4 linked regions of the Drosophila melanogaster genome follow. The gene in region 2 interacts genetically with the main gene of each other region. Each region holds a gene or a part of one and is shown on either strand. Other genes may lie near its edges.

Region 1 (4,832 bases), on a different chromosome or scaffold from region 2:
TTAAAAGGTGGGCAATCGAAATTATTTAGTTTTAAATGGTGGGCAAACGTTTTTTATTGGAAATTTTTATTTTAAAGAGGTGGGCTAAGGAAATTGGTTGTATTTTAAATGTGGGCAATCGAAAAAAAATTTTTGTTAAAGGTTTTTTAAAGGGTGGGCAAACGATAAAAACTAATAATAATGGTTGGGCAAACGTTTTTTGTTGATAATATTTGGTTTTAAGAGATGGGCAAACGATTTACTCTCTGATTAGACCGAGGTAAACTTAAAAGCCTTATATTTTCTAAAGTATAAATTTTTTCAAAATTCTAAAGGGTGGGCAAACGTGGGCAAACGATGTTATTGCGATTTAAAAAAAAAAATTTTGAAAAAAGCGAAATTTTTGATTTTCGAAAATTTTCGAACTTTTTCGAAAATTCATATCTCAAAAACTGGACGTGGGCAAAAAAACTAATTGGTGGGCAAACATGGGCAAAAAATGGGCAAACGATTCCAGCTTTCAAATTTCAAAAATTCGATTTTTCCGACCCCAGCTTCTTTGAGCTACCTAAACTGCCACACACAACAATGATTGATTGTGGAAATTTTTGTGGGGGTAAAAAATGGTGAATAAATTACCACACTGGTTGGTAATTGGTTTGGTTTGCAATGCAATTCCATTCGATATTGAAATTCCCAAAAATTGTTCAAATGGCAATTTCTATTAATTAACACGGTGCTTTTGGCAAAGGAAACACCCTTACAAATGGATATACAATCTGCAATCAAAATGCGATGCATACGTGTTTCCCCCTCGTTGCTGTCAAATAGCCCGCGGTATCTTTCGACCATTTTCATTCTCTTTTCTGTTTTTTTTTTTTTCTTCTTTTTTTTGTATTTTGTTTTCAATTTTTATGTGTATTTTTATTGGATTTTATATGCGAACCCAACCCCTGGGTCACGAATAAAAAAAAAGCGACAAGAAATGAAAATTGAATATTTTATGTGAAGCGAAGCAAACAAGAGCAAACAAAAAATTGTGGATCAACAATTGAAACATCGCGTTTTTATATGTACGCAAGACAAATGGGTAGCAATTTCTTTATTTCAGAAACAAACAAAGTCGCCTAAAACAAAAATCTTTAAACCATTTCAAAGCGCACACATTTATTATTACAAATATGTGCAGGCTTCATTCATGTTTATACTTTGGTGATTTAAAATGTAAATTCTTCGTATTGATTAAAAAAAAAATATATAAATTTAAAGTTTCCTTAGAGAAATTTAAATTGTATATTTACACTTGGTTACCGCGACGAAGTGCCTTCGTCGTTGAATGCAAACTTGAGGACAACAAACGAGCGGAAGCACAAACACAAATGCCACGTATACGCCACGTTGTCTGACATTTTCCCCTGTTACCGGGGAAATGCGAAATCAAAGATTGCCAACCGCACAGAGTGCCGCCTTTCGCCATTACGTTATTTTCGCCATTTCGCGCTCTTATGTCAGAGAAAAGCCGGTCACGCGCCAATACAAGAGCTGCAACATCCTCCAGCATGCAGTTCCTTAAACGCACCGATTAGCAAAAGGACACGTACACGAAGGATGCGTGTGCGGATGTCGTTGCGGATGCCAGTGCGGATGCGAATGTGGCAACAAGTTCGGCTAACGAGACTGGCTGGCCGACAAGAGCACACCCAAATCCTTAACCGGAGTGGCCTAAAAAAAACCTAAACCGCTCGCTTTGGCCAGCAATTTTCAATGAATGGCATCGTTTAATACAATTGCCCACACGGCGTATGCGTAACGAGTTTGTTTCGCCGTGTTTTTGCCGAATTTCGAACCGAAATTGCAGACGATTTTTCATTAAATCATCTTATTGACACACAGACATTCGAAAGTAGGGGGATACTCTGAGACAATGAGAATGTTGGTAATTGAATTTATACAGAATGAAAAGCAAAGGGCATTCCACGGAATTTTATTCAAAATTACACATTGTTGCACACATATTTGTGGAGCCTAAAAAGAGCTCGAGCTTTAAATAATTTTTAAAAAATTACTGCTTTAAACTAAGATATATTAATATATTCAAGCAATTCGAGTCAACTATTTTACATCTGTGGAATTTTGAAACTCTTTGTAAACTATAAAATCCGATTATATTTTATGATATTCCAAAAAAACTCATCAAATTCAACACAACAAGCTGAGAACCGAATTCTTGATAATTTCCATGCGTGATTCTATTAACTGAAGCATACAATACAATATTCTGTGGAGCTTTTCCTAAAACTACGAATATTTGCCAAAAATTGTAGCTGAAACTTTAAATAAATCTGGGAATCCCCATTTGAAGACTAAATATAAAAACATTTCCGAAAAATCACAATACAAACACGCTGCTCACAATCACACACGGCAAATAAACTCTCACATCACGAAATTAATCAACAAATTTTCCAAGGAAATTTTTCAATGAATTTCAATAAGTATATTCATATTTACCGTTTCGGTTTGCCGCTTTAGTTTTTCTTTACAATGGAACGCACTTTTCAGTCGTTCGAATCAAGTCAAAATTTCGTGCACATTTTTGCGTGCTTTTACACGTTAACAGTTAGGATTCAAAAAGCACAAAAACTAGATCTTAGTCTTACATAGTTTTAAGTTTTAAGTTTGTATCGTAGCTTATATTTCAAGTATTGAATAAATACTTTGGAATATCTTTGAATATTTTCGAATATTTGTACAAGTTAATATTGGTTTAGCACAACACTTAGAAGCACAATCAAAAAAATAGTTACTTTATATTTAGATATTGTAAGTTTTTCAGTATGTTTATGTTTTTCTTATGGTATGCGATGTTTTTGTTGTGTTTTGGGCGATGTTGGTGTTTTTTTTTAAGAACTTGGTAGTTCCAGAGAGTTTTGGTATTTTGCTTTGAAATGTTTGGCCTGCTTGGGCTGTTCTGCTATTTAAATGAGTTATTTATTTCTAGAACAACGCGCCTCGTCGACCGTTCAAATGAAACTGATGCGAAGGCGACGCATTGCCAGGAATATAAAGCGACCGGGAGCGAGAGGGCGCTATTGAGCATAAGCGCGGGAGCGAGCGAGAGGCCAGCAATCGGCCGGCAACTTCGGCTGTGGTCGGCAAAAGCCGAAGTACTATAAACACCTGTAAGCAGCCTTCGATGCCGGCGAGAGAGCGAGAGGGAGAGAGGGAGGGAGGGAGAGAGAGAGAGCGAGAGCGAGCAAGCGAGCGAGTGGCCGTATCGTTCTCACTCCCTCACCCTTTGCCGCCCAACGCCCACATACTCCCGCTCGCCCCGTCTCTGTCTCACACCCTCTCTCGCTCTCGCTCTCTCTCTTTCGCGCTCGCATTCGGAAGCGGAAGGAAACTCAACAGTTGGCACATTATTGAGTGGAGAGAGGAGCGGAGAAAGTAGAGCGGAGAAATGGCGAGAACTGCGGAGAAAGTGCGGGCGGCAGCGCTACTCTTTGTTTTTGTTGTCGCTGTTTGTTGCCATCAAATTTATGGCAATCATTTGTGCGGTGTTTTAAGTTGGTCCAACACAAGTGCCCAAACTATCGATAATTATCGAGAGAGAGAGAGAGAGAGAGAGAGTGATGGCGTGTGAGGGCGATGGAGGAAGTAAGGGATTAGAATAATCCAAACGATTATCGTAATGATATTGTTAGCTATTAGCAATCAGATTGTTTGCAATATCTAAAACAATTTAAATAAACGATTTTATGGCATTAATTATCGGTATAATCGGCAATATTGTTATCGATCAATATCATTCCTAACAACAGGAAGAAAGCTGCTTATATTTTTTTGAAAAATATTAAATCGAAGAAATCTTCAAGGAAATCATTGGTCTCATGTTCGGTGTCGACCTCGTCGAGTAACTTCTTCAATCTTCGTAATAGATCCTTGTCCTTTTCGAGAGTATCCAACAGTTGTTCAGCATCGCTTTTTAATAAGCCCAATTTACGTAGTAAACGTATCACACGCCTTTCAAATGGCGTAAAGGACTGACGTTTGAATCGGTTGTATCTCTGCGGCAGCTTCAAGGATATCTTGTGTTGTACAAATTCCACAGAATTCTCTTTATGTTTAGTAGTCGTTAGCTGCTCCTTAGATATCCCGTAGAATTCCTTATCACGACGTTCAAGGCTTAATCCAAAAGCGGCCAAAAAGACCAAGAGCCCAAAGATATGCAAGTAATGCATTTTTAAAAACTATGCACGGCCACGTTGTCCAACTTCTACTTATATACACTTTCAGTAGTGCACTTATCAGCAAAAAACAAATTAACTCAAACTCAATTAGAGATAGCTTCACACTGAGTTATGTCAATGCCGTGACTTTAGTTTAAAAATTTGCCCAAGAAGAGTCAAGAACATGACCTAACTTACTTAACACTGCGAGTCGCCCATTTCCTGCTCATATATTATTTAAATTGAAGAAATTATTACAAAACCAAAGTAGCATTGCGTTTTGCGTAACTCAAATAAGGGCAGTCAAACGAAAATTACCAACCGACTTTTATATTTTCCATAAATTTTATACTACTCGAGATGGATTGTGACAATTCGAGTTTGGAGGAGAAGCGAGAACGCGTTGACAATGCAATCCTAACCGCCATGGAGGATCTGGATCGGGATTATCTGCGCAAATTGCAGATCGAGATGCACAGATGTGCGACCGCCTGTTGTGCGGATGCGGACGCGAATGCGGAGGCGGTGGAGCGGTGCATCGATCGCTGCCAAATCCGTTTGACCCGATCACGCTGCTTCGTACAGCAGGGTATATCCGATTTTGAGAATCGCCTAGAGAAGTGC
Region 2 (7,930 bases):
GGCTTGGCGAATATGTTTTTCGGTCTGATGTTATCCTCGGAACGGTCACGGTTCTTCTGATTCCTCTGGTCGAAGTTCACGTTCTTTTATAGGCCAGAAAAGCAGGCGGATGGATGGCAGACAAACAAATTGCCATCGGAACAACGGGGCGGATGATGAATGTTGCTGCGATGCAAATGAGATGTTGCTGGCAACAGGTGGCCTTTAGCAACAAGTTGCAGAAACGTGGTACTTGAGATTCTTTTTTTTTATTATTCACACAAACAAAGGACTTAACTATTTAATTGCTATGAAAGTGGATTCCGCGGCTTAGAGCCAGCCGGAGATCATGCGTCCTGTGACCGTGGATTTGCCTCGTTCTCCGCCAGCTGCGGCACTGCTCTGACCCACCTTGATCGCCGGCTTCAGAGGAGCTGCTGCTGGCTTCTTGTCCTTGTCATCGGCAGGCTTCTTGTCCTTATCATCGCTCGGCTTCTTGTCCTTGTCGTCACCCGGCTTCTTGTCCTTATCGTCTCCCGGCTTCTTGTCCTTGTCATCGGCTGGCTTCTTATCATTATTGTCAGCAGGTTTCTTGTCTTTGTCGTCGCCAGGTTTCTTGTCCTTATCGTCGCCGGGTTTCTTATCCTTGTCCTTGGCATCGTCTCCTGGCTTGGAGTCTCCTGCAGCCTTTTTTGGCTCCTCCGGACCGCTCTTCTTTTCGTCCGGCTTGGAGGCCCCATTGGTTGCCTTAGTTGCTTCTGGTGCTCCAGCTGCTCCAGGTTTCAGTTTGGAATCCGGCTTGGCATCCGAAGGAGCGGAGGGAGCTGCGCTCTTGGCTGCTCCATTTGTGGCTGCCGGCTTGCTAGCTTCGGTCTTGGAAGACTCCTCCTTTTTGGCAGCGGCCTCGGGCTTGGCGGATTCTCCAGGCTTCGGCGCAGCAGGCTTGGTGTCTCCAGGTTTGGTTGGTGGTGCCGGAGCGTCCTTCTTTTGTGACTCACCGGGCTTGCTGATAGTGCCAGCTGCTTGGGGCTTTGGAGCTCCCGCACCCGGAGTTGGCTTCTGATCCCCGGGCTTGGGACCACCTGCTGACGGCTTGGAGTCCTTGGGAGGCTGCTGCTTATCCTTATCATCACCTGCTTTCTTGTCATCCGTTGGCTTGCCCATCGTGCCGGGCTTGCCATCGGCTCCGGATTTTTCATCCACATTCTTAACCGATGCTCTTAGAGCAGCTGCAGCCAACATAGAAGCTCCTCCTCCAGTTCCACCACTAGTTATGGACTTTTTAGACTGCAAGTGAGATTATATATTAGCCAGGGAATACATATACATATATTGATTGGAACGTACCCCAGAGGCATCCAGTGGCTTCTTTTCGCCTTCGCCATTTGGAGCACCCTCGTCATCGGCCAAGGAAACCTCGTCGGCAGCCATCTTCTTCCGCATGAACTTGACATAAGCCACTCTTGTGGCACGCGTCACATCACCCAAGTTGGGATTGAATTCTGGAGGAGATCAAGGGTATGGAAATATACATACATTGGGCACATCTTTATTAATTTACCAATCAACTGGGTCTGGTTCATCTGAAGACCCTCATTCGCCTGCTCGATGATCTTCCTCCTCAAGCTTCGCTGGCTATGACGTTGCATGGAGGAGCGCTTGGAGCCAATGGGATCGGAGGCGAAAGTATTCTTCCTCGCAATGGCGTTCCAATCCTTGTCTCTGTTGAGAATAATAACCATTATTCAAAGCGTCTTACAGATTTAAGTGGACCTACCCCTTCTGGGTCTTCTTTCTGCCGATGACCTTGGCCAGCGATGAGAATATATCTCGTCCGCTCTCAGATTCGCTCATTTCCTGCTTCAGATTCTCGACGAAGCCGATTTGGAAGTCCTTAAGGATGCGACGTTCCATCACCTTGCCCTTGGTGGTTCGAGCAACTCCTTCAAAAGTAAGTTTAGTGAATAAAATCCATTAAAATCCATTCTAGCTTTGTAGTCTTCTAGCACAACATATTTCAAATTAATATTCAAGATGGGGTGAACTTTATTAGGTATTCAAAAGCTAATTGTAAATAATTATTCATATATACTGCTACTTCTATCTTAAGACACGTGTAAGTTGCCAATTTGGATGTGGGTAGGCTTCCCTTACCCTGCGACTTCTTCTCAATGTCGGGTACATCCCAGTTATTGTTGGTGAAAATCTCCAGCAACTCGAACCGCAAGGAGCTGATGTCCTGGCGCACCTCAATGATATCATCCTCGGTAATGCCGTAATCGTCCCGCCGCCTCTGCTCCGCCGTAATGTACCTCCTGACCAGCAGCTTCATCACTTTGTCATGCAGCGTCTGTGCCCGTTCCATGGACTTTCGCTGGGAGTTGGAACAGGGAGCATTAGAGGGTGGAAGGACACAGAAAGGATGTATTAGACGTCAATTTGACGCACAGATAGCTCTGCATGGGCTTGATTGAAAATGATTTCGCTTAAGATTTGTATTGATTGTGAGCCGCCTCTCACTGTGAGGTGATTCAACTTGAAAAAATCGAACTTTCGAAATGTTACTTACATTTAAAAGTAATATGATAAGAAATATCATTTAAAAGTAGAGTACACTGAATTTAATATATATGTGTGGATTTGTATAATACTTAAACTGAAATATTGAATTTCTCTGAGTGTAACTTACCATGAAGCTCTTGGTTCGTGACGGTCGCTTTCGGCCCAGGGTCTTCCTCAACATCTTCATGTTGGGACAGAGGTTGAAGGGCGGTGGAATGGTGCCGCCATCCTCGAAGTAGCTCATCCACAGCTGGGATCGGGCGAACTTCCACTCAGTGTCGGCTCGCTCCGAGATGATTTGGTAGGAGTTGGACATCATGGCAATCAGCATGTTGAGAAGCACAATGATGTTGATAACCGAATAGGAGCCGAACATTAGCAGTGCCCAGAAGCGGGTGAAGCTCTTGATTCCCGCCAGATCGAAGGAGACCAGGTCCACCAGGCCAAAAGAGGCCCAAAAGAGCGATTGTGATGTTTCGAATAAGCTAAAGTAAATTGAAATGGGATGCCAATATGATAAAGTACATAGAAATGAATGTAATATACTTGGAAAATCTTCGCCAGATGGTACAAGCCTTCTCCTGGTCATCAAAGTCAGCCACATCGGGATGCAGGTGATAGCACTTGTTCTTCTCCAGCTCAGCGTAGTACCATAGCAACTGGTTGAGACCACATCCGAAGGCAAACAACACCAGTGTGTAGATGAAGAAGAACTTGATGATGTCGATTATCATGCGACCCAGTGAAACTTGCAAGGGTCCCAGGTGGGGATTAATGGAGAAGATGTGGACGAGCTTTAGATAGGAGAAGACCATTCCGGCAGCAAAGGCGCCCTCTGATAGAAGCATTGGATCAAACGGATGCCAGTGTTCCCTTGGGAAGTAAGGATCTATGCCCCGGAACCAGAGATCACGCTGAAATCAATTCGTTTCAGTAACTCCAATTTATTCATTAGATTCATATGGACTCACATGGACGATTACCCAAGCGGTGGCCCTACAAAGAATCCACGTCACATAGAACATGTTCGATATGTAGTCCACTATGTTCCAAAGATCCATGATGTACTCAAACAAGCCGTCCGAATATAAAGATTTCAGTTCCTCAAATATTAGAGCCATTATGTAGGTAATGATTGCCAGTTCAATGGGACCCGGTAGTGAACCTCTCTCGTGTTTGCGCCAATCCTCCAGCATGGTCAGCATCCAGGGAAATGCGAGGAGTTCAAAGGTGATTTGCACCACCCTCAGGGAGGCAGCACCCAGGAGCACTGTGAATGGGCGCATATTTAGATGGATGAAGTGTTAAGCACCCACTTTACCCACTCAGGAAGAACATGTAGGAGCAGGAGTGCGTGATGAACTTGACAAAGGGCTTGCGCATGAACTTGGCACCCTCGGAATCCGGGGCCAGGATGTACTTCAAGCTGTAGATGGGGAAGCTGCATCCCAGCTTCACGACATCCATCAGCTGCTGGGAGGCCTGCTTGCGCCGGAAGCCCGGCAGTCCGTCGTACCAAATGGCGGCCAACAATTGTTGGACATTTGGATGTGCCACAAACTAGAAGGGGGAGTAATGTTTATAAATTCAAGCAGGGTACTAAGATCCGTTTCTATATATAAAGCTATTAAATCCCAGTTGGTCTGTGGTGGATTAGGCATGGGTATCTAGCCACAAGCTTGTAACCTTCACAGTTCCTTAATGTGCACGGATTAGTCCGAACCCACCGTTTTTTGCTTATAGCGAATGGCCAGCTTCAGTCGTTCCAGGGTTTGCCGCTGGCCAAGGCACCAGATGTCGTGGGACGGCTCGTGGTTGAAGTTGAGCATCACCTCGAGTTCCATGGATGTGCGTGCGTGATCCAGGAGCGAGGTCCCGAAGTCCTGCACCATCTGACGCATCTCCTGTTGGGCAAACACAAACAAAGGCTCGCATTCGCATTCGCATAGACTCTAGTGGCACACTGGCCACCGCTTACATTGCACACTACTACCGTACCGTGTATTCGGCACGAAACTCCGATTCCATCGCCTGCAGGCGCTTGAGTTCCCAGGACAATTGGAAGGCGGTCAGTACAGGGTCCCGGGAGCTGAGCGCTATCAGCGAGCTGGCGGACAGGGCGCGGTATGCGTTGATCCTCGACTGCGAGTGGCGCAGGGAGTCCGTCATCTGGGAGGTCACACACTCATCGCAGCCGCACCTAGAAACAATTGAGATTAAGCGATGATATACAAAGTGTACGGAACCCAAGAGTTCTATAATAATAAATACATTTAAATCAATCTGAAAGGAGTACAAAGGACCTTCTCTCCTAGCAAGGACATTTATGACGCTGTTAAAGGCTTGAGTCCATTGACCCAATTTAAGAACATTCAAGGACCTGCTCTTCCCACACACAACATTACACCCTGTATTAATATTTCACCCTAATTTGCCCGCAATTATCTAAAATTAGAGGCACCCAGCGATGTGCTACATAAGTGTGTTGCCAATTGGACAAACAATGGAACGTGCCGCTCGAAGGACGAGGAAGCTCACTACATAGCCATATCACCGAGCAACTGCATCCCTACACCACCCCACTCACTTGACGTCGTGCGGCATGGGCAGCGTGGCCCCGCGATCCAGGAGGATTTTGAGTATCTCGTAGTTATTTCGGTGGGCGGCCAGGATAAGGGGCGTGATGTCCACGGTGAAGGTGGACTTGGAGCGGTCCACCGCCTCCCAGCTCTGCCAAAGGAGGGGAAAAGAGTAAGAGTTGTGGCATATTCTGCGGCAGGATGTGACCTACGTATGGCTGGCCCTCCTTGTGGTTGGTCTCCTCCCACTGCAGCAGCTCCTCCACCGCCTCCACATACTCCTCCGAGATGGCGTGCAACAGGGCGTCGCCCACCTCGATGTTATGCTCCAGCAGGATCACCATCAGGTCGAAGTTCTCGTTCTCGATGGCCGAAATGAGGGCGGAGCGGTTCATGGGATCCGTGCAGTTAATGTTGAACTTGTCCGTGCCCTGGTACTCCTCGAGGATCCTTCAAGGACGAAATCATATTAGCCGAGTTACTCGAAGCCATAGGGAGGAAGCCTCACTTCTTGACACCTGGCAAGTCACCCCGCTCGCAGGACAATATGAAATTCTTCTCCACATCGCTGAGGATGTACTCCTCGGCCATCATCAGGTCGTAATCCAGGCGAGACCCCAACGCCTTCTCGGCATCGGATTCCGTATTGCTGCCCATATCTGCACTGATTTACTGGTCTATGCGAACGCGATTATCAGGATCGGATCACTCGGTCACTTCACATCTCACAAACACTATGGGCATTTATCCCTGCTCCTCGGGGAGCCTTGGCGTAATCCTTTCGCGCACTGTATCCTTTAGTGTTCCATCGTGGCGATGTTCCGCCTCCAATTAGCCGCGTTGCACTGCTGAAAAGTGGCAGCCACGGGTCGCTATATTCCACTAATTACATTAGTGCCCAATGTGGCTAAAACTCGGTCAATGTGTGGGCGAACCCCGAGTCAATGGGCCCATTTGACCGCACTTCGGTAATTGTGGGGCTGCATTTGGAGGCAGCAACCGATTTTAGCGATTTCAGTTCAGGAATCTTTCGTCCATTTGTGGTTGCATTGCACGTGATGAGCGACTTTCGATTTTCGAAGCCCCAGCAACGGAATCGCACCACTTTTATGCCTGAAAATCCAAATCAATACTGCCCAGTGGGTTTATATGTAAGTGAAAAACAAAACGTGCTAAATGGAACAATATTATCTGCTTATATTTCGATGAAATGATGCATACAGTTGAGATATGAAATTAAATAGGTGTCTAATATTTTGTACCCAGCAATATAGATCAATGCCCAAAAAAAAAATACGCACTTTGCATACTTTTTGACACCTATTCAAGCCGAAATTCAAAGCTACTTAATATTCAAAAAGTAGCATGAGGGTGTTAATTTGCGAGTAAATAGGGATTCATGGACTTGGGTTCATATCCTAGAACTATTCACCGAGAAAAGCCCTTAAAAATAGGAGAAAATGCAAGCTTTTAAGCTTTTGGCTAACCAACAGAGCCGGAAAACACACCACACCTGCAGTTTACAGTCGAGTATCTACCGAATTGAAATGATTTCGAATGCCTTTTGGGCACTGGGTCAGTGATTCTGACTTTGTGATTGATGAATATTGATTAATCTGCATGGGAAGTGGGAGGGGGAGGTGGGGTGGTGTACATCTAAGACCCAACTCGTCCTTGGCAGCCGAGCGTCTTGAGCCTTGAATGTTGAATGTTGCTTACTTCAGGGCGCTCGCAGGGCTTTTGTGTGTCAATGCACTTGGAACTAAATGCCAGCTCCTGGCTAAAGGCGGAGAAAAGGAAAAGGAACAAGCCCACTTTCACGGAGCAGCCCTTTGAGATGAATGTGTGTGTTCGAAAGGTGGGGTTCAATGGAGCTCCGGGCGGAATGGCATCGTACGTGTTCAAGTCGTACGGGGTTTTTAGCGGGGCCAATGCACTCCACACTCCACTCGCATGGCTTCCAAGAGAAGAGGAAGGAAGTGATGGTGGCCCAAGGAATTTCAAAATTAAAGTCACAGCTGTCGAGGGGAACTCATTAAGTGCGAATTAATTAGAGGCCATAGCTGAAAATACCTGGATGGCATTCTCGTAATTATATAAAGGTACTCCTCATTACACAAATGTGGCTAAATGCACATTCTTCTTATAAGTTCCCATTAACTAAATGCTATGTTGGGTTTATACATGATTTTCTGCAGTGTACAACTGGGTTGCACTCAATGATTCATTGGCCTCCAACAAAACTCCTGCCTTATTTAGCTTTTAAGGACCCTTGTGAGTTATGTGCTCAGTTCTCCACGAGAAAAGCGAAAGAGCTCATTTTCCCTGGGTTTGCGTAGCAGGTTGCACTTTCACTGTCTCCCCACCGGAAACCGTCAAGATTGCGGGATAAAATTCATTTTATGGCCATCTGTATTAAAATTATATCTCTAAGCCCTCAACATGATCGTAAAAATCTATAGTATCAATGCTGATTTGCTTTATGGCACCGATAAGATACTTATGTGTTTAAACAAATTGAATGTACCCACGTAGAAAATGATTTTATGAATTGCATCCGATGAGTAGTATTTAACATTAAATTTATTGTATTTTTAACTGATTCGCAAATCATTGAACACTGATAAGTTTACGTTTTTTATATTGCTGTACAAGCCTCTGCGTTGTTTATTTTTTGTCTTTTTGCTCCTATGTAATCTGGATGACATTAATTTACTGCCCTCCAGCTCAACATATGGGTAGTTTGACACTTGGTCAAGATAAGACAAGGGACTTCTTCTGTATATAAAGGCGCTTCGACATCGGAACAC
Region 3 (4,604 bases), 8.9 Mb from region 2:
ACTGGGCGTATGCGCAATTTGATGCCCACATACACGGTAAATCTAACAGGAAAATATGTAAAGCGAAGCTGGGTGAATTTTTTTTTATTTATGCCTCGTAGCTGGAGATTTGTTACTGTCAGGACGTATGTATGATTAACTCTGCTGCAACGGAATCCTGCATAAACTCTACACTCGAAAGTATGCTTTTTGGGGCTCTATTTTTTCCGGAAGCACGGCAGCTGCTAAAGCTGCTGATTCTGCGCCATTGTGCGAAATGTTGGCTTCCAGTTGCCGTGGCCACAGCAACTGTAACTTTATTTCACCATTGTTGTTCAATTGGGTGAGGGGCTGGAACTTTCTGCTGGTTTCATGAATCAAACATGACCGAATCTTGTTACATATTTGCAGTTTTCTTCGTCGAGTTTCTTTTGTGTACACATGTGCGCGGTTTATTTTTTTGTTAGTTAGAAAAGTTGGTCGCCCCACACACCGAAAATGGAAAAAAGTAGAATTTTTCGCCACTGTTTGCGGCTGCTACGTATGCAAGGCCTAAGCTTTTGAGTGCCTGCCACTTTTCTCTAAGCCTTTAAAGCGCTGAATTTTCATCTGAGAGCTGTACTGCGGTTTGGCTGTGTGGTCTGTTGCTTTTAATTGACGGAGCCATAAATTAAATGAATTTTCCAAAATCTTGTTTCATCTGGATTTTCTGCATTTCGCTGAATATGCTGCATACTCAATTTTAAATTACCCGAGGTATTCCTCTTATCAGAATCAGAAAATCGAGCATTTTGAGTGCTTCGAGTCATGCTGATGTTGGGTACTTGATTAAGCTAGCTAGTTAATGGCTGCCATTTAGTTTGATTAGATATAAAGCCCCAAACTGAGTTCCATTGTAACTTGTGTCCAATTGACAAATACTTATGGGACGACCTTCCTTCATTCATTGGTCAGTGAAAAGGAGCCCCTTAACCGAGTGAATGAATAAATGGCTATTTATTTGTACAAAGGGAAACAAAGTGAACTCTAAACTGAAATGGTAAGCAAATGTCAGGCAAGTGAAGCGAATGAAAGCTTGAATGATATTGACAAAGGCAAATGCTACCACCCATCGTCCTATGAATGAAAAAAGAACTCAAGGGGCTGGCCGACTTGGGCAGGAGTCGCGGGTTTTTTGCTTTTCAATTGTTTACTAGTCTCCGTGTTGATTGTTTTCTTTGGTTCCTTTCTATGGATACCCTATCAGATGGCATGATACTTTAGGCACTGTCTACAGTATAAGCGAAAAATTTCATCTAAGCGGGACAGTAAAATATACTTCATATAAATAATCATTTGTGGTTTAATGCTCTGAAATCTGAAATCATAAGCCTAACGTTTTCTGGCGAAGTTCTTTACTTTTTCTTGGGAGTCTTAATATACTTTATATGTTCATATGGGAGACGTGCCTTTTGGAATGTTAACATTATATCCCTTACTGACATTCGTTTCTTACAGCGTGTAAGAATCAAAGCTAGGATGCCATACAGCTTTATTTATAGTTAGTTATATCCTCTACAGTAAATACATTTCCGGATCACAAGCCGAGTCGATCATGATCAAGAAAATATGTAACGCCCAGAATTTGAAAAATGATCCAAAAAAAGTCCATTGCAGTTATGGTATGTGATAGTCGAGAAAGCCCAAAAACCAGCTGTCCACAAGGGAACTTAAAACTCGAACTTATGCCGATGTCAACTGGATTCCCCATTTGCTTTTCTTTTCTTCTGCGGTGCTGCTCGTCTCTTGATACTCACAAAAGACTCAATTAGGCGTTAGACAAAGACGGTGGACATAGCCATATGCTGCTTGGCCCAGAAGTTGTCGCTAATTCGCAGACAAAGGGCGAACGAGGGGCCAGTGGGCTTAATCGATAGAAAAACGAAAATGGGAAAACAAACTGACAATTGTCACGGACTGCCCCCGTCCGTTGTCAAGGTAAGACCGCCCGCACTATTCATACTCACATACACGGGGCGTATGCGTAATGCCTTAGCCATACCGCACGGCACTTCACATGTGGCGTATGATTAAGTCGTGCTTGGGTAGAATGCGCCTAAAACGAATACATTACCGGCAATCGGAGATGGAGGCGCCAGTGTGGCGAGCTGCAGGATCCGCTGCCGATGCTGCTGACACAATTTTCGCCGCTGCAGAGCTGCAACTGCAGAATGGCCGCACACAGATGCACCAGATATAGATACAGATACACAGATACAGATGCACGAAGCTGACGCCGAATTTGCGAATTTCGAGCTTGACACGAACACCCGGAGGCTGTTGAACCGCACCGCTCTGAACTCTTTTGGCTAGTTTTGTAGGTTTATGCCGTTTTCGTGCACATCCTTTCCTTTTCTTGCAGCTTCCTTTACAGTTGCATTTTTTGCAGCGGCTGCTGCAGTCCGCGTTGCCAAAAGTGAAAAGAGGCGGCCGGCACGGCGGTCGGTGGTCAATGGTCAATGGTCAGAAAACAGGTTCAAAAGTCGGCGACCGCAGGCGCAGGTCCTGTGTGTGTGTGTTACGAACGGGTGTGTGTGTTTGTACCGCACAACTTTCCCAAAAGTATGCAAAGATATTTAGCCTAGTTTCGACTCTCCGACAGCATCGTTGTTGATTTTTTGCTGCACTTTCTTGGCATTTTCTTTCAATTCATTTTTGCTCTCAAATTAATTTTGAAAATTTATTTATGGAAGATCATTTCACTAGCTTTAAACACTGTTTTTGTTTTTATTGTTGACTGAAGCACAACAAACACATCAACAAATACCTACATATATTTCTGTATATATGTGTATCTGTGTATGTTTCGCTGTGTAGTAAAAATAGTAAAACGCTCGGCACTTAAAATAGGAGAAGCGCAGCGAAAAACCGTTTGCCGCTGTTCTCTTCTATTGTTGTTGTTATTGTTTTGGTTGCTTCTTTCGTTGTCGTTGTTGTTGTATTTACCGCTGCTGCGTGTGGAAATCACGGAGAAAACGTTACACGCTCAAACGCCGGATAATGAAAGACTAACCTGCGAGCCAGTAACCGACTGCCACATTGGCCGACTGCCTCTTTAAAAATGCCGATTGTCGCGACACGAAGGGCACCCGAAATGCACACGAAGAGTGAGAGTGGCGAGTGCGAGGGCGGTGAAAGCGGGACAGATAAGGAAGAAAGTGCACAGGATAAGGAACAGAGTGGCAGTGGAACACTGGCCAGGCGATAACAACTGCGCCGCTCTCTCTCGCTGTCGCTCTCCGATGTTCCCCATCTTCCTCTCGTTGCAGTGGCGCATTTCGCAGGGGGTGTAAAGGTTTGGCGGGGAGGGTGGTGTAGAGGCATTGCTGGTTAGTATAGCCCACACCCACACCCCCTCCTCTACCACCCGCTGTCTTAGACAAGCAAGCGCATAAGTTTTTGACGCCCCTGTTAAGTCGGTTGGAAACAAGTTGCTGTACTCTATGCTTGGAAAATAGTCTATTAACAATAAGCACCGTTAGGGAAAGTGATTACTAGCAGATCGGGGTGCAAAAAAATATAAATTTTCAACACCCAATAAAGGTTCACGTGGCCAAATCTTTTATTTCTGAAAATTGTATTGTTTTATAATTTCTTAAGCTTAAAATATGATATTATTCACGCGTTGAAGTACAGTATTGATCTCAACATATACATTTTATTTAAATATATATATTTATTTATATTCAAAACCAAATTTGAGAAGTACATCGCCAATTCCAACTCAAATTGGCTAGAAAGCTTTTGATCGCATTGAAGTCAGCTTTTAAAAATAACTTAATTGGTATGTGTTTTACCGGATAAATGGCTTTCCCCTGTATAATTTTGATTTAGTTGATTGCGCCTTTTTACTTGGCTCTCTATGCAGCATCACGCCTACGAACTTTTTCAAGTCACTTATGCATTTTATTTTAATACCTATACATATTTTAATACCGCGCCATAAAAACTTCACTTAAAAAGTTAAATAATAATATTTTGTAGTTTTTTTTTTCTAATTATAAATCAGTTTTCCTAATTTAAAGTAATCTTCTTCTCTTCTATTATTATAATTCATGTATTAAATCAAAGCTAAAGCAGCAAATTAAGGCAATCGAATTAAGCAATGAATTAACATTTTAGTACTCCCCATCTACGGTTGTGTAATATGCCTCTCTAAATAATCGTAGGGTATCACCGGGGCTTTAAAGGTGGAATTCCTTACGAATGTTCTTTTGACTATGGCGACTGCGTTAGAATTTGGGGACCTGGATGGCTCGGCGGTTCGGCTGCTGACGGGCCCAGAACTGCGAACCGAATGGCGAGCTGTGCGAGGCGTCGTAAAAATAAATAAGCAAAACGGAAATTAATAAGACCCAAATGTTGCCGCTGTCGCAACGACCTCCCCATGTTGCCCCTGAGAGACCTGCCGCGACAATAGCGTTAGCCTTATGGCCATATAAACGCAGCAATGGAAACAGCAGCAGCGAAAGCAGCAAAAGTAGCGAAAGAGAAGCAAACGCTGCACGCCATTGCTGTAAGTACAGTACAGTACAGGAACATGTGTGCCAGTGTGTGCGCTCACAACCTTTTGCTACCTTGTATTT
Region 4 (4,647 bases), on a different chromosome or scaffold from region 2:
GAAATTACTAAAAAGAAGCTTTTGATATATGTAATTATATTATGGCATAGTTTCATTAGTTTGTAGTTATATATGGTTTGATCCTAATAAGATCTGGATAGACATTGTTGGGGAAATGGGGGAGGGGGCGGGATGTTCTAGATGCTAAAATAAGAGGCACAATAAAGGAGGGCCGTCAATCAATAATTATTGGGCACAGCGGGCAGTGGGGGAAGGGGAAACGAACACAGACATGCACATGTTTATGTCATGGCAGTTACATGGCAGGCCGTAACGAATCGTAAGCCCCAACAATATGGCCACCGCTTTAGGCCCCCTTCCCCCTGCCATGCCACGCCCCCTTTTCGCCTAGCACTCTCCACCCCCCGTTAGCCTCCACACATCACCATTTTTCTGTTTTTTTTTTTTGCCTCCTTAGCATAATTACATTTTGTGACACAGAAAATGCGCCAACAGATTTTCTTTGCTACACTGGGTCAAAGGTTATCGAAAGTGTGTCCTATATATAAGAAAAACAGATAATTTCATAACGAAAACATGTATCTTCCACTGTTTTAAAGTTGTGAAACAACTTTTTTGGTGTAAAAAATTTCTGTTAAGCTAGCGAAAGTAACAATGTGCAGTTAGCACTATATGAAGAATGCTAGGTTTTGTTTACAACTGCAATTACTTTTCCCAATTTAATATTCATATGTATGTACATTTTTACGACTTTTAGAGAACACAAGTAAAGTTCATATAAGAAGAAAGCACCTGCAGTTAAAAGTGATAAGAAATGTTAATATTCACGATGAGAAAAAACTTTGCAGCGATAAGATTTATTACAATGGAGCTTCCTTTATGGGGCTTATAAAAAAATGGACATTATTTACGATTCGCTTAAAGTCTTCTTATTTGGCGGGGGGCATTCGAGAAATCTAGACTAGAAAACACCTTTTTTTTTAAATGATATAGCAGCCCGGAGATGAAAAAGCGGCCCACTGTGCATCAATAAACAAATTACAAACGCACACATGTGCTGGCTATAAAAGATCCGGCCAAAGTGCACGTAGCCTTCAATGTGGTTGTTTATGATGTATTTTGTCATTTAAAAAATTTTTGTTTATGATGTGACCAAAGGGTAAAGCAAGGGTATGCACACGGAGAAAAGTAAGAGCAATATCACAAATATTTTCATTCATTAATATTATTAAAATATATTAACACAATGCACATTTTATCCATGTCCACTCTGATATTTAAATTATTTTTAAGATTGCTTGATATACTTTTCTCTCCGTGTAAAATCATAAGATGAAGATGGGTAAAATTCCACGCTTTTATGCACAAAACCATTTTTGTTATTAAGTCTGCCAGACAGAAGCTCAAATAGTGAAAATAGAGGAAATAAATTTGCGCAATTGTTGCAACATCAAAAACGCCAAACTGATAAATAAATTGCCATGGTAATTGACCAAGCAATACAATAAAAAAAAAGGTGTAGAAAAATGTGCAAAAAAAGGTAATAAAACGAAGAAAAGCAACAACAACAGAAAACGCACTCAAGCGGAAATAAATGAACGCGAGACAGAGACAGAAATAGACGGGTTGGGATGCAAAGAAAGCAAAGGTTGAAAGAAAGCCTATTAAATCCGAGTCTCAAGTTTAGTGAGCTAAATTAGACGGAAAAGAGCAAGAAAAAAAGGTCACGTACTCTCTCTTTGGCTCTCACCCACTCTCCCCGTCTCGCTCACTCCTTCGTGCACACCTGTGGCACGCTTTGTGCTTATTAATAATTTATAAATACAATAAGCAGCAAAAATAAGAACACAACAAACGTATTTCTTGGGTTCATCTCAAAAAGGGCCTATATAATAATATTTATTTTGTACAAAGATATCTTTTATAGACTCATTTATGAAAAATGTACATTCCTAAAAATATTAATCATAGGAAATTCATAATTTCTAAGATTAAAGACTTTTTTTCAAAAACCAATGGTTATAAATTCCAGAGCAGTGCTTTCGAATAAATATTTTTATTTTTCATCTGAGTTAAGTTCCTATTTTTTTAGTATAATGAAATGTGTAAAAAATTATTTATGGAACATTAACCAAAAAAAGTTATTTTTTATGAACTCATAATGAAAACATTTCTAACAATATTATTCTTAAGAAATTTATCATTTTTAGATTAAAGCATTTTTTTAAAGAAATAGTTATAAATTAATATTTTTATTTTTAATTTGACTTAAATTCCTTAAAAAATACTTTAAAAAATCAATCATTAAGATGGCTATAAAAGACTTTTTAAAACGCTGAACTGTAATAAACTTTATCCGATTTATAAAAGTGCAAAAGTACCAAACATAACAAAACAAAGCTTTACGTGAAAATTACGCATGGAAAATTCTTATCACAGACTTGTTGTTGTTTGTAAAAGAGAGCAAAAGCGTGAAACAGGAAGAGCGGTGGGAGAGAGCTAACGGGACCTTGAGACCTGGCCACAGCCAACACACACACACTTACACAAACGCGACGCAGCTTACGCATTTACGCAGCTGCCACCCACACACACACACACACGACAACCGAAGTATCCTTAACTAATTTTACGAATTTTGTTGTAAACTATTCCATTTGTTACAAACAAAGGTGAAAAAAGAGCAGCAGTGGAAAACGTACCAACTTTCGGCGGGCCAACTCACATTATTATCATTGCGGGCAGCTGGACAATTAACAACAAAAGAGTAAGGTCCAAAGCGCAAAGGAGAAAAAAAAACAACGAACAACGCACAACAAAATATAAATATACAGTGGATATATGCTGACTCGATTGGGCGATTAATACAATTTATCTATTCATTTTCTTCGGGGCGCTTTTCCAGGCCGCAGATGAAAAATGTTTTCAGCGTTGTTGCTGCTTGCCTTGCGTTTGCTTATTTCTTTTTGCAATCAAAACGTACACACTGAAAAAAAAACAGCGTGCGCTGCGCGGCGGCAAAGTTGCGATTGCGACTCGGCTCGCGTTTGATTCCGAACTGAAGTAAGATGAACCAAACCGAAATGAACTGAACGGAACGCCGAACGCTGAACTGAACGAACGCCGAAAAGCAAACGAAGCTAAAGCAAAAGCAAAGCCAAGAGAAATGAGCGGAGAGAGCGAGGCGTTCCGAAAATGAGTATCACCGCAAAATCGCCAGACTCATAAAAAGTATACTAGTATATACATAAATACATATGTATGTATGTACATATTTGCAATCTGGATAATTTTTGCTTAGATATTAAAAAACTATTTCTACATTACATATACATACATGTTTTAAGTACATTTTAGAAAAGGACTATTTAAGGACTAATTAAATAACAAAAAAGTTAAAACGCCACCGTTTCTGAAAACGGTCAGTTCAGTTCTCAATTCTCAACTGACGATTCGCGGAAAACCCCTTACTTTATTTGTGCGCAACAAAAGCGCGCGAGAAAGCGTCACTCTCACTCTCTTTGCCTTTCTCTCCTTTTGCGGGGACACTCAGCTGGCTAGGCTGAAAAGGGGGGGTTTCGTAAATTGGATTTATGCATATCGGCCAATGAATAATATACAGTAATTTCTGCAAGAAACTCGGATGGCCAGAACCCCACAAAATGCCAACGTCCCGGCGTCCTTGTGCGCTCTCTTCTGGAGAAAAGCAGCGAGAGCAAGAGCTTGCCAAGCCCAAAAAGAAGAACAAACGCTGAAGGGCAAATAGTGAGAGAGAGAGAGAGAGAAGACGCTCTAAGTGTACGGTAAGAAGATAAGCTTAACGGCGCATTCCGTTCGGTCAGAGTCAAAGCAAACATGTCACGACATGCACAAACAAAAGACGCCAACTGTTGTCATTCCGCTCCTGTCACTCCAGCTCCCTATCTCGCTCTATTTTCGACTCTGCTGTTTTCGCTGCCCTTTCTAGTTTGTCTATTGCATTTGATAAAGTTCAACTTTGACATTTACACCGCGCATGTCCCAAAACTGTAAGGAACAATTGAGTTTACACAGGTTGCCCAGTGATTTTTGAACGAGTAGTCACTAACGATAAACCGAATGCAAATTTTAATTGAGTGCACATCAAATGGCAACGGACACTAGTTGCCTCACTCTCACTTCCGCCCACTCAATGCATCCATCTCCTTGTGCGTATTTCCATCCCAACTTCGCAATCCTGTTAAGCATCTAGGGTGCTAGTAAATACCAAGCTGCACAGTTTTCTAAATTTTGATTTTTATGAGTTATTCCTAATTTCTTTTCAGTTTATTTATTATCTACATTTTCTTTCGTGTACCTTTCATTAGGTATCATAATTGTATTTTAGGCACTTTTTGTTTGCTTTATTTATCGTGTTGTTTTTTGGTTAAGCATCTGCTTAAGATCACCTGTGATATATGCATTTATCTTTTTATTATTAGCTCATTTAAGTTGTTTGGCCGATTTACTATGTTAAATATGTATATTTTCGGAAATTTTTCTATTTACTTCAGAAGGGGTGCCTAAAAATGTGCCCAGCAAATTCTTGTGTGTGTTTTTTAATACCATAAAAGTTAGAATCCAATCCAGAATAACCATTGCTATTGCTATTAAAAAACTTGACTTTTCGAAAATTTGCAGCTTTTATTTTTATGGGATTTTATAGAT

The links.
Region 1: of trp (region 2) and rdgA, changing one suppresses a phenotype caused by changing the other (phenotypic suppression), as found in Drosophila melanogaster (2 studies listed by BioGRID).
Region 3: of trp (region 2) and Calx, changing one suppresses a phenotype caused by changing the other (phenotypic suppression), as found in Drosophila melanogaster (3 studies listed by BioGRID).
Region 4: of trp (region 2) and rdgB, changing one suppresses a phenotype caused by changing the other (phenotypic suppression), as found in Drosophila melanogaster (one study listed by BioGRID).

What each region holds. Positions count from the first base shown.
Region 1 is NC_004354.4:8,923,355-8,928,186, reverse strand, and holds the start of rdgA (retinal degeneration A), read right to left. Parts: upstream 3,004-4,832; 5' UTR 2,491-3,003; intron 1-2,490. Other genes in the region: CG43255 (uncharacterized protein), read right to left, coding at 3,813-4,220; CG12661 (uncharacterized protein), read left to right, coding at 4,569-4,832. UniProt on the Drosophila melanogaster protein: Required for the maintenance of phospholipid turnover within the photoreceptor.
Region 2 is NT_033777.3:29,914,287-29,922,216, forward strand, and holds trp (transient receptor potential), read right to left. Parts: upstream 6,004-7,930; 5' UTR 5,778-6,003; coding exon 5,629-5,777; intron 5,571-5,628; coding exon 5,333-5,570; intron 5,272-5,332; coding exon 5,129-5,271; intron 4,742-5,128; coding exon 4,540-4,741; coding exon of another isoform or gene 4,531-4,539; exon of another isoform or gene 4,520-4,530; intron 4,446-4,519; coding exon 4,269-4,445; intron 4,102-4,268; coding exon 3,867-4,101; intron 3,812-3,866; coding exon 3,513-3,811; intron 3,456-3,512; coding exon 3,088-3,455; intron 3,027-3,087; coding exon 2,669-3,026; intron 2,354-2,668; coding exon 2,134-2,353; intron 1,923-2,133; coding exon 1,757-1,922; intron 1,702-1,756; coding exon 1,541-1,701; intron 1,482-1,540; coding exon 1,327-1,481; intron 1,267-1,326; coding exon 310-1,266; 3' UTR 235-309; downstream 1-234. UniProt on the Drosophila melanogaster protein: A light-sensitive calcium channel that is required for inositide-mediated Ca(2+) entry in the retina during phospholipase C (PLC)-mediated phototransduction.
Region 3 is NT_033777.3:20,976,609-20,981,212, reverse strand, and holds the start of Calx (Na/Ca-exchange protein), read right to left. Parts: upstream 3,031-4,604; 5' UTR 2,093-3,030; intron 1-2,092. UniProt on the Drosophila melanogaster protein: Na(+)/Ca(2+) antiporter that couples the energy of a Na(+) electrochemical gradient to the movement of Ca(2+) against an electrochemical gradient across a membrane, which contributes to the regulation of cytoplasmic Ca(2+) levels.
Region 4 is NC_004354.4:13,761,128-13,765,774, reverse strand, and holds the start of rdgB (retinal degeneration B), read right to left. Parts: upstream 3,024-4,647; 5' UTR 2,830-3,023; intron 2,707-2,829; exon of another isoform or gene 2,664-2,706; intron 1-2,663. UniProt on the Drosophila melanogaster protein: Catalyzes the transfer of phosphatidylinositol (PI) and phosphatidic acid (PA) between membranes. May control phosphatidylinositol concentration in transport vesicles from the subrhabdomeric cisternae (SRC) to the rhabdomere.